Linked DNA regions of Struthio camelus. The protein of the gene in region 2 purifies or fractionates together with the protein of the main gene of each other region. This does not show direct contact. Links are inferred from orthologs where the notes say so. Each region holds a gene or a part of one and is shown on either strand. Other genes may lie near its edges.

Region 1 (5,356 bases), on a different chromosome or scaffold from region 2:
GCCTAGCTCCCCCCATTAGCCCATGGTTCGGCCCAGACCCCCATTAACCCCATGGTACCACCCAGCCCCCCCCAATTGTCTCCCATTGTCTGGCCCAGCCCCCTCCATTGGCCCCCTGGTACGGGCCTGTCCCCCCCACCACCACTGACCATCATGGTACGGCCCGGACCCCCCCCCCATTAACCCCTTGGTAGGGCCCGGCACCCCCCGCCCCCGGCCCGGCCCGGCCCGCTCCTACCAGGATCAGCGCCTCCATTTTGCGCTCGCCGATGCCGACGTGGAGCCGGAAGAGCGGCCGCGTGTCATTGGCTGCCCGGCTGCCAATCACCGCCCTGCTCTGGGACCCGCGCGGCGATCCCGCGTCTCATTGGGCGAGCCTCTCTGAAGTCTGGCCAATCAGCGCAAGGTTCGCTTGGGGGGCGGGCCGGGCGAAGTTCCTCCTTTCTCGAGCCGCCGAAATCTATCGGTGATTGGACATGAGGGCTGTCAGTCACCGTCCCTGGAAAGCGGAGGGAGGCGCAGTTCCCATGGCAACCGAAGAAGCGCTGACGCAACCAGCCTTACCAGTCGCGTTAGGCGATTGGCGGGGCTGCTAATCACATGACCGGAAGCATTTCCCGCATGTTGCTTGGCCACGCCCCCAACGGGGTCATGACCCCCAGTGGGCGCGAGGCCGTTACCTTTGACCTTTGGCCTCTCTGGGGTCAGGTGGGGGGAGGGGGGACCGTGGGGGCACAGGGACAGGAGCAGCACGGCCATGGGGGGACACGGGGGGGACACGGGGACATGGGGGACGGGGACATGGGGGACGGGGACACGGGGACACGGGGGACAGGGGGACATGGGGGACGGGGACACGGGGACACGGGGGACAGGGGGACACGGGGGACAGGGGGACATGGGGGACGGGGACACGGGGACACGGGGGACAGGGGGACACGGGGGACAGGGGGACATGGGGGACGGGGACACGGGGACACGGGGGACAGGGGGACACGGGGGACAGGGGGACATGGGGGACGGGGACAGGGGGACACGGGGGACGGGGACACGGGGACACGGGGGACAGGGGGGACAGGGGGACGGGGGACATGGGGACACGGGGGACAGGGGGACACGGGGGACAGGGGGACAGGGGGACGGGGGACAGGGGGACACGGGGGACAGGGGGACACGGGGGACAGGGGGACGGGGGACACGGGGACATGGGGGACGGGGACATGGGGGACGGGGACACGGGGACACGGGGGACAGGGGGGACAGGGGGACGGGGGACATGGGGACACGGGGGACAGGGGGACACGGGGGACAGGGGGACAGGGGGACGGGGGACAGGGGGACACGGGGGACAGGGGGACGGGGGACACGGGGACATGGGGGACGGGGACAGGGGGACATGGGGGACGGGGACACGGGGACACGGGGGACAGGGGGACGGGGGACATGGGGACACGGGGGACAGGGGGACACGGGGGACAGGGGGACATGGGGACGGGGGACATGGGGACGGGGACACAGGGACAGGATCAGCACGGCCATGGGGGTCACGGGGGGGACACGGGGACAGGGGGACATGGGGACACGGGGGACATGGAGGACAGGGGGACATGGGGACACGGTGGACAGGGGGACACAGGGACGGGGGACATGGGGGACAGGGACACAGGGACAGGATCAGCACAGCCATGGGGGGACACGGGGGGGACACGGGGACAGGGGGACATGGGGACACGGGGGACATGGAGGACAGGGGGACATGGGGACACGGTGGACAGGGGGACACAGGGACGGGGGACATGGGGGACAGGGACACAGGGACAGGATCAGCACGGCCATGGGGGGACACGGGGGGGACACGGGGACAGGGCCACGGGCTCGACAGGGCCGCAGGATGCTGCAGGGACACGGGGACATGGGGGACGGGGGGACACAGGGACAGGGGGACATGGGGACACGGGGGAAAGGGGGACACAGGGTCGGGGGACATGGGGGACGGTGACACAGGGACAGGATCAGCACGGCCATGGGGGGACACGGGGGGGACACGGGGACAGGGGGACGGGGAGATGGGGGACGGGGACATGGGGGACGGGGACAGGGGGACACGGGGGACAGGGGGACACAGAGACGGGGGACATGGGGGACAGGGACACAGGGATAGGATCAGCACGGCCATGGGGGGACACGGGGGGGACACGGGGACAGGGCCGCAGGATGCTGCGGGGACACGGCCACGGGGGGACACGGGGGACAGGGGGACATGGGGACACGGGGTACGGGGGACAGGGGGACACAGGGACATGGGGACACAGGGACAGGATCAGCACGGCCATCGGGGGACACGGGGGGGACACAGGGACAGGGCCACGGGCTCGACAGGGCCGCAGGACACTGCAGGGACACGGGGACATGGGGGACGGGGGAACACGGGGACAGGGGGGACGGGGGGACACGGGGACACGGACACGACATGGGGGACATGGGGACACAGGGACACGGGCGAGCGGTCAACATGGACATGGGGACGTGGGGACATGGAGTCAACACGGCCACGGGGACTTGGGGGACGTAGGGTCAACATGGACATGAGCACACAGGGACATAGGGACAGGGAGACGGGTGAGGGATCAACATGGACATGGGGGACATGGGGACAGGGACACGGGTGAGGGGTCAACATGGACATGGGGGACACGGGGACAGGGACACGGGTGAGGGGTCAACATGGACATGGGGGACACGGGGACAGGGACACGGGTGAGGGGTCAACATGGACATGGGGACATGGAGACACGTTGGAGACAGGGAGAGGGACACAGGGGACATGGGGACAGGGACACAGGGTCAACATGGGCATGGGGGACACAGAGAGATGGGGAGGGGGACATGGACACGGGGACAACACGGACACAGGGGACAGGGGGACGTGGTGACAGGGACATGGACACGGGGTCAACAGGGACACGGGGGACGGTGGTGGGCACAACGCGGACGGGGGGACCGGGGGGGGGGACGCGGTGACACGGACACGGGGCCAACCCGACGTGCAGGGCCGGGGGGACGTGGACACGCAGGGACACGGAGGGGGACACGGGGCGGCCACGCACGCGCAGGGACACGCCATGGGGGGGGGGGGGCCGGACGCCTGGGCCCCCTGCGGGGGGGGGGGGGGGGGGCGGATGCCCTGGGCCCTACTGATAACGCCGGGCCCTGCTGGGGGGGGGGGAGCTGTGTCCCCTGTGTCCCCAACCCTGTCCCCGTCCCCCGTCTCCTGTCCCCATCCTTGTCCCTGTCCTCATGTCCCCAAGTCCCCCTCCCTGTCCCCTTGTCCCCATCCCTGTGCCCCCCATTCCCCTGTCCCCATGTCCCCTTGTCCCTGTCCCATGTCCCCATCCCCATGTCCCTTTGTCCTCATGTCCCCCACTCCCCCATCCCCGTGTCCCCACCCCGTCCCTGCCCCCTGTCCCCCATCTCCTGTCCCCATCCTTGTCCCTGTCCCCAAATCCCCATCCCTGTCCCCTCCCCATCCCTGTCCCCATGTCCCCATCCCTGTCCCCATGTCCTGTTGCCCCAGGTCCCCCCTCTGTCCCTGTCCCCCTGTCCCCCACTCTTTCTTTGCCCCCATGTCCCCAAGTCCCCATCCTCACCCCTGTCCCCGTGTCTCCTTGTCCCCGTGTCCCCCACGTCCCCTGTCCCTGCACCCCCCATTCCCCTGTCCCCATGTCCCGTCCCCCCCCGCCGTGCCCGTGTCCCTGCGGCGGGTGCCGGGGGCGGGCGGGGGCCGGGGCCGCCCCGGGGGCTGGCGCTGCGCCGTGTCCCCGCCGTGTCCCCAGAGGCGCCCGCGATGGCCGTGCCCTGAGCACCAGCCCCCGGACGCCGGCGGTGACCCGCGGCAGGTAGGAGCCCGCGCGGCAGGACACGCGTGTGCTCCCGTGGGGCGACACGGGGCCACACGGCTGGGGGACGTGGGCCGGGGTCAGGGCAGGCGCGGGCTCGGGGATCGGTGCACGCGTGTGCCCAGGGATCGGTGCACGCGTGTGCTCAGGGCTCGGTGCACGCGTGTGCCTTGGGTCTGGTGCATGTGTGTGCCCAGGGGTTGGTGCACGCGTGTGCTCAGGGGCCGGTGCATGTGTGTGCCCAGGGATCAGTGCACGCATGTGCAAAAGGGTCGGTGCACGCGTGTGTGCCCCGGGTCTGGTGCACGTGTGTGCCCAGGGCTCGGTGCACGCGTGTGCCCTGGGTCTGGTGCACGCGTGTGCTCAGGGGTTGGTACATGCGTGTGCCCTGGGTCTGGTGCAAGCGTGTGCCCAGGGCTCGGTGCACGCGTGCGCCCTGGGTCTGGTGCATGCGTGTGCCCAGGGATCGGTGCACGCGTGTGCCCTGGGTCTGGTGCACGCGTGTGCTCAGGGGTTGGTACATGCGTGTGCCCTGGGTCTGGTGCACGCGTGTGCTCAGGGGTTGGTACATGCGTGTGCCCTGGGTCTGGTGCAAGCGTGTGCTCAGGGGTTGGTACATGCGTGTGCCCTGGGTCTGGTGCAAGCGTGTGCTCAGGGGTTGGTACATGCGTGTGCCCTGGGTCTGGTGCAAGCGTGTGCTCAGGGGTTGGTACATGCGTGTGCCCTGGGTCTGGTGCAAGCGTGTGCTCAGGGGTTGGTACATGCGTGTGCCCTGGGTCTGGTGCACGCGTGTGCCCTGGGTCTGGTGCATGCGTGTGCCCTGGGTCTGGTGCACGCGTGTGCCCAGGGCTCGGTGCACGCGTGCACCTGCGGACCAGTGCGTGTGCCCGGCGTTGGCTACGCAGGTTTCCGTGCCCAGCTCTCGGCACACGCGTGTGCGAGCGCCGGGGCGGTTTGCCCGCAGCGGGGCCGGGGCACACGCGGGGCGCGGCGCCAGCGCCGGCGCGGGGCGATAACGGCGCCGGGGCCCTGCGGTTCCAGCTGCCCCGGCCGGCGGGTAACGACGGGAAACGGGGGCGGAAAGGGCCCCGGCGGCCCCGGCCCGGCCGGCTGCAGTGGCTGCGCCAGCGCAGGGCGCCGTGTTTGTGTAGGGTCTCCTGGGGGCCGTGTTATTGCAGGGTGCCCCGGGTGCTGTGTTATTGTAGGGTCTGCAGGGTGCCGTGTTATTGCAGGGTGCCCCGGGTGCTGTGTTATTGTAGGGTCTGCAGGGTGCCGTGTTATTGCAGGGTGCCCCGGGTGCTGTGTTATTGTAGGGTCTCCAGGGGGCTGTGTTATTGCAGGGTGCCCCGGGTGCTGTGTTATTGTAGGGTCTGCAGGGTGCCGTGTTATTGCAGGGTGCCCCGGGTGCTGTGTTATTGTAGGGTCTGCAGGGTGCCGTGTTATTGCAGGGTGCCCCGGGT
Region 2 (5,356 bases):
TATCGGGACTGCCAGACAGTATATGTTTTTGGCTGCCCATTTCAAATGCTTAGTTGTAAATAAAATTCTTGCCAGCCAGTGGTGAGCATCAAAAGGCTCAATGGAGAGCAGTAACAAGGTGAAAGGCAAGTTTTTAGCTGTGCAGAGACAGGTTTCCTTGGATGGGAGGGAAGTTAAAGAATAAAAGACCAAAAGTGCCAAACATCTTGCTGAGCAAAGGAAACCAGTGCTGAGGGCAAACGAGGAGCTATGGCAGCTGGTTTTATCACTGAAATTGAGTTTAGCGAGCACTGTCCTGCTATTCCTAGAATCACAAACGTGCTTAAGGACAATCTGCTGTGAGCAGAGAATTACATTTTTGTCTGGAGTTCAATTGCAAGGCCTGGATGCTAGTCGCACTGCAGCTTTCCATTTCACATTATGATGTTTCATGAATTATTTAAACTGTGGTTTAGCTCTGCCCTATGCGAGTTAAAGGCTAAATAGCACACATGAAAAGGCCAACAGTCAAAACAGCCAGGCAGCCTGAAAAGTCAGCTGCAAATATCCTCCGGGTACTTGAAGGAAAAAATACATTTCCATGGTAACAAAGAGAGAGAGAGAAAAAAAAAAAGAAAAAAGTACCCCTCTCCTCCAAAAACAAGACAACCCCCCTTTCCCTCCCCCTCTGCCAAACGACATGCTTCCCTGAAGGCACAACGTGACAAGAGCAATCAGGAATACAACATGGAGTCTTGTGCCAGTGCTGTGCTTCTGGACAACGTTTCCTCAGACGCTGTACACTAGGGACCCCTGTCTAGGCTACTCACTATGGCTAGGTTCACCCAGGCAGTAGCCAGCTGAGTAAGAGTTGCATCTTCGTCCTGCTCCTGCATCTTCTTAAGTTCCTTGCTGCAGAAGCAAAAGTGGGAGCCATGTAACAGAAAGATAATGCATCCTCTGGAGTTCTTTCAGATACAAACAAAAGGCTGCAGTTCCCTCTGTCAACTCTTCTCTCCCTCTAGCAAACAGCCACAGCAACCTGGTAATGTGGCACAAAACCTTTACGATATTTTGCTGAAACAAGTCTGTGGAAGAGTGTTCCCTCCCTGTTTAACTTCCTTTTGGGAAGCTAATAACCCATGACTAGAGACTCAAATCACCCTCTAGCAAAGGCGAAATTAAGTCTAGGAGACAGCTTCTTCCTTTAGCTGTATCCAGCTAGATTATCTCCAAAGTTCTTGCATCATGACGAACAGGAATTTTGCACAGTGCACCCATACCCAGACACAGTTTCTTCTGCCCATTGCATGTGTTAAAGCGCTGCTAGGTGATCCAAATTCTCTTATCAAGGACTTCAAATTTTTTTAAGCCCACTGCAAGAATATTGTTCAGAAACAAAGGGGTGCATACAAGAGGCAAACTTACCGGGCTAGATCAAGCCTGTCGAGCTTCAGAAGAATCTGTATCATCATTGCCATGCTGCAAGGAACAAAGGGAAAGTGATTTTCACAGCTGCGTGCTCTACTGCTCCCTACACTTTGCTTGGGAACCTACTGCATAGGAGACAGATGTATTACCGGAGACTAGGGACAAGTCTCCCTGCAGCGGAAAACCAATAAAGCAGGGAGAACAATCACTGGGACACAGAACAGGGAAGCTTGCTTCTAGCTCCCAAATATTCTGTTGCTGTAACACCATAATGCTCATTTGAGCAACCACGAACAAGTACTGTTCCAAAAAAAAAAAAAAAATCAAATTCTAAAGTTTCACAAAGGTACAATATACTTTCTATTGCAGGACAGGCACCAAGTCACTTACTGCTTGGAAGACAATCCTCAAAACAGTTTCTTAATGGTTTCAAAGCTTTTTAGAGACAAGCCAGATCTCTGCCATTTCTATGGTAACTCTCCCTAGACAACAGAGACTTTGCTAACACACACCTCAATGATGTCATATTGAATTACACTTACCATTCCAAGCTTTCCCCTTGATGTAGAGTGCGCAAAGCGGCATCAGGATTTTTGTCATGGAAATAGATGGAAGCAGCCATCAGCAAGAAAGTAGTGTTAGCTACATCAACACTTTTTGCCATTTTTTTGTCCAAGTCAGCAACAATTGCATCTCTGTGAAGAGCAGTAGTAAAAATTTGAGCGTTTTATTACTAAATAACGCCAAAAGATTTTACCCCCTAAAATTCTACGTTTTTGAGATTCGTGGCAGAACCACAGACAGCCATAATAAAGATTACACTTCTATTAGAAATTCTCCATAGGAAAATATATTCCCTGACAGTGCGTGAGTGTTATAACTTATTATCAGACTTACCTTTGACCCTCATTTGAAAGATATTGAGCAAACATCCTTACTGCTTGGAGCTCAGGACTAGCATTGGCTTTAATTTCATCCAGGACAACACCATATTTTCTCTGTTGAAGACAAAAAAGAATCTAGAATTTATTCATTTTAAGAACACAAGCAGGAATAGTTTGTTCTGTAAACCTTAGACACCACCCCTCCCCTTCCTATTTTACATCTCCCATCGCACTGTACACAGTCAGATTTCATAACCCTATAAAGAATTATTCCCCCCTCTACACTGTGTTAACAATAAAGAAGTACCTCTCAAAGAGGTCTCATCAGGTTGCACTGACCCTAGACACAACACATCGCGTTCATAACTGCACTACTGCATGTTCCGTGTCTGTTCCAGCGGACGTTACGTTCCAACACTGAAGGAGGAATTACTAGAAATTGCACGGCACTGAATTTGCAGGACTCAGATTCACAAGTTCTGGATTCCAGCCCCACAGTAACGCTAGACTACTGCATATGCAGCATTTGTAACCTCACCTGGGCAATGTAGGCTCGGAATAAGAAAACATCCCTCTCCACCTCCTTCTCCGGATTAGACGGCTGACGGGACGACAAAAAAGACCTTTCTCAGCAACCCGTGCAGCCATAACCCGAGCCCTGAGCAGCGCAGTCCCACACGGACGGCCCCGCCAGGCTGCACCGTGGGACGAGACCCCCACACCGGGGGCGGGGGGCGCTGCAGGAGAGGAGAGACGCTAGCGGCAGCGCAGACAGCCTGCGGCGAGGCGAGGCGAGGCGAGGGGCTCCGGGGAGAGGGCGGCTGAGGGGAGGCCGGGCCCGGGGGAGAGGAGCCGGGGGGACACATGGCGCCAGGGCCCCCTCTAGGCCACCCCTACCTTGACCCGCTGCGCCTCGTTGATGGCGGCCTGGTAGGCACCGATGTAGAAGTTGTTCTTTACGTCGAAGAGCTCGTCCGCATCGCCGCCCTGGCCGGCAGGGCCCGCGCCCCCCCCGGCCGCCATTTCCCTCCCCTCAGACACGTCTCCGGAAGCAGCTGGGCCGCGAGGGCTGCCGGGAGCTAGCGTCACAGGACGCTCCTCTCCCCCCAACCAATGGGCGTGCCGGGGGCGATGACGCCAGAGCGGGCGCCGGAAGTGGGTGCAGAGAGAAGGCAGCCAATGAGGAGGCCGGGCGGGGCGGTGACGCGCAGCGCGTAGGCCGGAAGTGGGGGGGGTGGCGGCGGCGGCGGCGGCCTGGCCGGCAGTGGCAGCGGCAGCGGTATCATGGCGGCCTTCCGGGAGCTGGGGCTGGCGCCCTGGCTGGTGGAGCAGGCGCGGCAGGTGGGGCTGAGCCGGCCCACGGCCGTGCAGGCCGCCTGCATCCCGCCCGTGCTTCAGGGTGAGCGCGGCCGCCGCCGCTCGCGGCGCCCCGGTGGCCGTTAACGGCTGCCGGCGGCCGTTGAAGGGCTGCCGGCGGCCGTTAACGGCCCGCCTGCTTCTGCCTCCCGCGCAGGTCGCGACTGCCTGGGCTGCGCCAAGACGGGCAGCGGGAAGACGGCGGCCTTCGTGCTGCCCGTGCTGCAGGCGCTCTCCGAGGACCCCTACGGCATCTTCTGCCTGGTGCTGACGCCCACGAGGTGCGCAGGGGTCCCGGGGAGCCCCGGCCCCTGGGGCAGGGCCCCGCCGCGGCGCCCGGCCCCGCCTGAGCTCTCTCTCCCTCGGCAGGGAGCTGGCCTACCAGATCGCCGAGCAGTTCCGCGTCCTGGGGAAGCCCCTCGGCCTGAAGGACTGCGTCGTGGTGGGCGGCCTGGGTGAGTGGCGCTGCCCCGAGGTTGGGGCCGCGTGGGGCCTCTGCTGGTCCTCTCCGCCTCCGGTGCGGGCAGGGCTGGTAAAGAACAAAACACTGGGTGAGCAAGTGGGGGCCAAATTCTCCAAAATGCATCGGAAATCGCCTCTCTTTTGGCAGCCTGTTCCCTGCAGCAGCTGGATGGAGATAGGTAGTCGTTGTTAGAGAGGCTTACTGTCCTTTTGTCCCTGTGGATAGAGGCCTGTGTGATTTATCTCTAAACTGGGAGTGTTTCCTTAAACGTAGGCAGCTGTTTTTGAAGCAAAGAGTTATAAAAGGACATAAGGATGGTAAGCGTTTTAAACCCAGAACAATAGTTTTGTTTTCCTGGGTCACTGGATATCCAGTGTGTGGGTGACGCTTTTCTTTCTACGTGCTATGTTTTCTTCTTGCTGTGAAGTTGTTATTCTGTGCCTAAGGCTGTGTGAGGGTAGCAGAAATAGGGAGCGTTGTATTTCCCAACTTCACAGACCAAACGTTATTTAGGGTCTGTGTTCAGCTGCCTGTAACCTGGTTCTATGGCTCTTTGTTTCAGACATGGTGGCCCAGGCACTAGAGCTCTCCCGCAAACCCCATGTTGTCATTGCTACACCTGGCAGGTTGGCAGATCACCTCCGCAGCTCCAACACTTTCAGCCTTAAAAAGCTAAAGTTCTTGGTAGGGCAGTTTATTTAGTTTTGTTTCTGCTTTTAAGATTCCTAGCTTCGTAGGCATGAGTGCAGACAGTCTGTTGGTTATTTTTTGGCTGTGTCTAGGTTTTGGATGAGGCTGACCGGCTGCTAGAGCAGGAATGTACTGACTTCACTGAGGACCTGGAGGTGATCCTAGAGGCTGTTCCAGCACGCAGACAAACGTTGCTTTTCAGTGCCACGCTAACCGATACACTGAATGAGCTGAAGAGTCTTGCCATGAACAGGCCTTTCTTCTGGGAGGCTTTGTCAGAGTAAGTCTTCACCTGCTCCACTACATGTGGGATCACGCTTCCTCTCCGTTATCTTGTCTCCTGACGGTCTTTTATCTCCCTCATGCTCCATCTTTGCTTGTCAAACCTGTGCTTTTTTGGTACCTTGTTTTTCCCTCCCTGCAGGGTGCGGACAGTGGATGAATTGGACCAGCGCTACTTGCTTGTGCCAGAGACAGTCAAGGATGCGTACCTGGTCCATTTAATCCAGACCTTTCAGGATGAGCATGAAGACTGGTCTATTATTGTCTTTAC
Region 3 (5,356 bases), on a different chromosome or scaffold from region 2:
ATCTTGCCACTGCATCACAGCCTCCCTTGGCAAATCAAAGACTGGCACAACTGTACCGTGAATCAGTTCTTTGAAGAACCAACCTAGGTGAAATTAATCTGGCAAAAATAAAAATGCAGTTAACTTGGATCAGTTCCCAAGCCAGTTCCCACACAGCTGTTTGAACTCTTGTGCTGGTAGAGAAGCAACAGCATGGAACCTCTTAGGCAACAGTGCTGACTTATGCCTACTTGAAGTAACTGTGACATGGCAACAAAACGTGACATAACAACAAGAAATTGTTTACTCTCTCTCTTATGGCAGAAGACTAGAATGAAAACATTTAAAGATAAAAATTTTAAGTATTACTTCAATTTAGATTAAAAAAATAAGTGGAGAAAACTTTGACTTTTCAGCCAACTGTGTCTACTTACTTATGCTTTCCACGTACAACTTTTTAACCACCAATCTAAAGGCTGATTCAAGAACATATTGGAGAGGCCTCCATACATGCAATTGTAAGAAGTTACTGCATTAAGATACTGTTAATGTTTTAACTGAGACATAATTACTGTTTCAGTTTGCCGTAATAATAATATAGAATAACTGGTCGATGTTCATTCCATCACAAAATACATGTTATCAAGCTTAGAATACAACTATTCAGCTTAAAGTACTAACCTAACTGAATAAAAGCAAAGTATTTTTCTAGAGACCAACAAAACGTCTCTTAAACTTTTTATTTTAAATATAAACGGGAACAAAAGCAGAAAGCAACTTTTAACTCATTTTACCTTGGATGGTCTAGCGTTTCAGCTTAGTCACAGCAGCACTACTAACATTTAGCCAAATTTGGGTGCTGAATGCGTTCAAGCTGACAGCTAAAGTTGAATCCAGATTTACTGTGCACCAGATCTAGAATTAGCCACATCATTATGCTCTCTCTCTTTTTTTTTTTTTTTTTTTTTTTAAAAGTTTTAAAGCTAACTTAAAGGAGAAAATCTCTGGGTAACCATAATGAATTATTTCTCTCTTCTACAAATTCATATGAAATCCTACTACTTAGTGACATACAAAGGAATGCCATGAAAACAAATCACAGAAAATGGTACTATATACAGAAATCACAAGAAGAAGATAGCTTACAGCTCCTGTAACAACCCAGTTCTTTCTTGCCACAAATTTGGCAGCTCTCACTGGCAGGTCACACACTTCAAAGGTCTTCACCAGCGTCTAAGAAAAAAAAAGAATTATATTAATTATTTGTAGTAATTTAAGATCCTTCTTGTGTATCTAGCATCAGAACATGTATTTCATACACAATAGAGGAAAAACAAAAACATCACCTGTGTTTCATGATTCCAAACGCAGACACTGCCATTGTAAAGGCTAGCCAACATCCATGGCTCTGTGGGATGCAAGTCTACGCTCTTCACCCGGTCAGACCGAGCAGTTAGTTTCCGCTTTATATCAAGTCGGAGAGGCTAGAAACGAAAAAAAGTTCACAATACCAGAGTTATTCCAACATAAATTCAACATAAAAACATCATGGAAGGAAAGGAAAGCTGAAGTTAAACCTTAAAACAACTGGAGCCAATCCTGCTTTTCAGAAAGGAGGCTACTTCTCTCTTATCTGCCTGTCTGCCTGTTTTTGTAGAAGTTTCTGAAAACACATCCCTACCAATATCAATGGGTCCCTTTAATTTACTTTTGTGAACGTTTAAGTGTTTTCTTACTGTAAGTAGTATCTACAGCACAGGCAAAGAAAAGATGCACCGCACAGCTCCTTACAAAGCTCCCTGATGTCCCTGAACTACTAAATCAGAGTTAAGAGAATTTGCTTCTAATACAAACATTAAAATACAAGTCTTCCTTCTCTTTCACTTGAAAATACAGGTGGAGAAGCTAGTTATCACAACTGAAAGAACCAATAATGTAACAACACTTGCCCATTACCAATTTGCATTCACCAAGTTCTTCTACTCTAACAAGTTTTCAGATGTAATACTATGTAGTAAAAACCGGTAGAAAGGAAAAGTTTAAGTCTTCCTATTAAAAAGGCAGGCTGTGACTTTCCACTTTCATCACTGGCAGTCTAATGCTAAAGTACCTAAAATTCAAAAGGCACGAAGTACAGCAAAGCGATTTTCTAAAACTTCTGAGGCACTATAACTTTGTCCAGACACTCAAAAACTGTTGAGTTTACTTAAGGCTCGTCAGCTCAAAAATAGCCTAAGGATTTTCAAGGGTGACGCAAGACGCTGTTGAACAGCATCTCATCTCAGAACCGGACGGGTCCTCTCTGATCGCTGAACACGTTACGTGCCTCGTCCTGAGTAGCAGAACAAAACCAGCAAAACCTGCAGGTGCGTGTGTTAGGCAGCATAAGGAGGAAAAAACACCTCGCTATCATGTAACCTGCAGTCATGACACCTGACGGCAGGGAACGAACTTGTGGTTTACCGTTTCTGCGATAAACACTACAAAAGCAGGCCAGACAAAGCGCATGCGATTCTGCCTTCGCTCCCTGAAACTTCTCTAACATAAGCGGCTAACGGTAACCTCCACGGCAGCTACTTCGGCAGCCGGGGGGTCTGCCCGCCGACGCCACCGCCGCAAGAGACGACCGGGCACCGACTCGCCCCTGCCTCGTGCCCGAGGGGGCCCCCGGCGGGCCCCAAACCGCCCCTCGGCGGTGGCGTTGCGCGGCCCCCGGCAGGGCGCTCCTCCCCACACTGACCCCCGCCTGCGCCGCTTCTGGGAGCGCCCGACACCACCTCCGCGGCCCGGCCCGGCCCGGCCTGCACCGGCGCCCCCCGCCGCGCCCCCCGCGCCGCGCCGCGCCGCGCTCGCCCTCACACAGCGGGGCCCGGCCCGGCCCGGCCCGGCCCGGCCCCGGCGGTGACCGCGGGCCCCCGGCCCCGCTCACCATCGCCCCGAGTGGCCCCGCGGCAGCGCCCAGGTGTCGCTCAGCCCCAGCCAGCCACCGCCGACCGACCGACCGACCGACGTGGAGCTTCCGCCCCGCTGCTCTCGCGAGAGGACCGGCGCGAGAGTTCGCCCCTCGCGATACGGCAGCAGCCCTCCCACGGCATGCCGGGACATGTAGTTGCCTCTCCCCCCTCCCGGCTGCTGTCGCGGGGCACGCTGGGAGCTGTAGTGGGCGCGGGAGCGGGAGCGGGAGCGCGCGCGTGCTGTCGCCTCAGAGCGGCCGTAACGGTCCTAACGGCTGCGGCGGCGTTTGCGCTGTGCGTGGCGGGCGCTGCGGTGGGGCCCTTACCGTCCTCAGGGACAATCCTTCGCGTGAGGTCCCCTCACGGTTAGAGACGGCGGTGGAAAGCCGGTGTGCTTTGCCCAAGTGTGAGCGACCCGGGGAAGAGAAAGGTCCTTTGGTCACCTTTGCCTGCTCAGCGTGGTCTCTCCAAGCACTTCAGGGTGGCATTGGCCAGAGGGGCTGGGGCCCGTGTGGTGAGCGCAGCGGGGCCCTGGAGCAGGCTGCTGGAAGGAGCCCAGCTGACCTCTCTCGGGCCGTGAAAAGACTTGATCTTGGTCAGTCCTGCAGACCCTGTAGATGTGAAACACTGCCTGGCAGGTTTTTCCTTTTATAAATCTTTTTGTCACCTAAAGTTACCCATGCTGTTACCCAAAACAGAGTGTCTTAGAAACATTATGGTGAATGTGAAATTTCAGGCAGCACCAAAACACGGGGAACCATCGCTGAAAAATTCTGCTCCAGCACTGTTTGCCAGATAAAAGTTCCATCTTCAGTTGAAGATTACAAGCCCCATTTAATTCTACAAAGGAGAGAAATTACAAGAAGGATAGTTATATTCGTTAGGTTTCCGTTAAAGAAAATGCTTACGATGATACAATTTAAGCACTCAGTTGAGAATTGAGAGCCCACTGTGCTCTATCCTACAACGCAGGAAGAAGGATTGCATTGCCCTGGAGCGCGCACGGTTTGATGGACATAGAAACAAAAGGGTGAGAGGTTACTTTACCTCTTGCTATTTTCACTCCAAGAGAGCAAAGACAGAAAGACAGATACCTAAAATTAGAAAGACACAGGCCTGATGAGTGAACGAGAAGAGAGATGCCAGAAGCAAAAGAAGGGTTGCAATGTTTTCAGCAGTTATGGGTGAGTTTAAGCTCATGTATACATGAGAACATAGAATTTCAGCTTTCATTTAAAGCCTGTTTATAGTAGTGATTGTGGAAAAATGCTTCAACACATCTGAGTACAGAATTTCAGGATGTAGAATCTAAACAAGCTTGCTTAAAAGTAATGATGTGAGTAAAATTTATGATTTTCGAGTCTAATTCATGGTTTTTAGACAGCTGAGGTGTTTGGAACAGGCTGGAACACTGAAAGAAGAAATATAGGGGAAAGACGTCAGTACTAGAGAACATAGGTAGTGGGGGTAGAAAAACACACATTGTATATTTTCCCTCGAAGAGCTCAACAAGGTCCTGGCCAGAGACAGATGAGGGTATTATAGAAGAATCGAAGATAGCAAGGAAGGTAAGTGACAGGTGAAGAGACAGAGCTAGTTAGTCAAGACAATAACAGCTGGGAAAGGAAGAAATTTGTTTGCTGTTTGCATCAACTCCTCCTGGAAAGTTATAGCAACAGAACTAAATTCAGAAGGGAGGCACAGGGACAAGGATGACCTTACAGTAGGAGAGAAGCAATGAAAAAAAAATTTCTATACTATAAGGATATGGAATGTCTGTCCCAGCTATTCAACACAAGGATACCAGTTCTGACTCAAGATCATGATCCACAAATTGCTGTAAATTAAATGGCTATACAGAGGAGTATTATTTTGTATACGCTTTTCTTTCATGTTTTTTCCCTCTGTATCCTCCTTATTAGCCATTATTTCACCTGGGTGATAGGCAAAGTGACTGCAACAAGCCCTTGGGCCATCTCTAAAAAGACATTCAATAGAAAAACATTTCTATTGAATGATAAGAAGAAAATCTCTACTCTGAGTTCCTTTATGTGACCCAGCAGCCATTCTTATGCCTATCTGTTGAGAGAAGTTTTTCAGGTAAGAAAGCACACAAAATGTTTCCTTCCAAAAGTAGTAGAACAGAGGAAACTTTGCTTCTTGTGGATTTTGTGCTGCTCTTAGGTTTCCCATTGCCCCTTTCATACCCCAGCTTCTTTGGCTAAGTAAGTAACACTTGCAGCAGCTTATTTTGGAGCAACGCGTACTCTGAACAGTTGGCTATTCCCTCATGGTCCTGTTAAAAGTCTATCATTATCTTTATTCTGGGAGAAGTGCACTAATTTGGGTTTATCTTTCTCTCTCTTTGTTATTTTTGTGGCTACTCAAAACCTTTAACACCATAGACAGGGAGAGGGAGGAGG

The links.
Region 1: the proteins of COPE (region 2) and COPZ1 purify together in Homo sapiens (affinity purification with mass spectrometry; 3 studies listed by BioGRID and IntAct, with this or other methods). This does not show direct contact. The link is inferred for Struthio camelus from reciprocal best matches to the Homo sapiens genes COPE and COPZ1.
Region 3: the proteins of COPE (region 2) and COPB2 purify together in Homo sapiens (affinity purification with mass spectrometry; 4 studies listed by BioGRID and IntAct, with this or other methods). This does not show direct contact. The link is inferred for Struthio camelus from reciprocal best matches to the Homo sapiens genes COPE and COPB2.

What each region holds. Positions count from the first base shown.
Region 1 is NC_090969.1:2,884,319-2,889,674, forward strand, and holds the start of COPZ1 (coatomer subunit zeta-1), read right to left. Parts: upstream 3,691-5,356; 5' UTR 3,648-3,690; intron 593-3,647; exon of another isoform or gene 565-592; intron 461-564; 5' UTR 257-460; coding exon 239-256; intron 1-238. UniProt on the Homo sapiens protein: The coatomer is a cytosolic protein complex that binds to dilysine motifs and reversibly associates with Golgi non-clathrin-coated vesicles, which further mediate biosynthetic protein transport from the ER, via the Golgi up to the trans Golgi network.
Region 2 is NC_090967.1:6,125,401-6,130,756, forward strand, and holds the start of COPE (coatomer subunit epsilon), read right to left. Parts: upstream 3,420-5,356; 5' UTR 3,318-3,419; coding exon 3,192-3,317; intron 2,896-3,191; coding exon 2,833-2,895; intron 2,409-2,832; coding exon 2,308-2,408; intron 2,106-2,307; coding exon 1,953-2,105; intron 1,462-1,952; coding exon 1,408-1,461; intron 892-1,407; coding exon 810-891; intron 1-809. Other genes in the region: probable ATP-dependent RNA helicase DDX49, read left to right, coding at 3,579-3,693, 3,808-3,931, 4,020-4,105, 4,676-4,797, 4,896-5,083, 5,228-5,356. UniProt on the Homo sapiens protein: The coatomer is a cytosolic protein complex that binds to dilysine motifs and reversibly associates with Golgi non-clathrin-coated vesicles, which further mediate biosynthetic protein transport from the ER, via the Golgi up to the trans Golgi network.
Region 3 is NC_090950.1:9,825,703-9,831,058, forward strand, and holds the start of COPB2 (coatomer subunit beta'), read right to left. Parts: upstream 3,012-5,356; 5' UTR 2,912-3,011; coding exon 2,909-2,911; intron 1,464-2,908; coding exon 1,326-1,463; intron 1,213-1,325; coding exon 1,126-1,212; intron 1-1,125. UniProt on the Homo sapiens protein: The coatomer is a cytosolic protein complex that binds to dilysine motifs and reversibly associates with Golgi non-clathrin-coated vesicles, which further mediate biosynthetic protein transport from the ER, via the Golgi up to the trans Golgi network.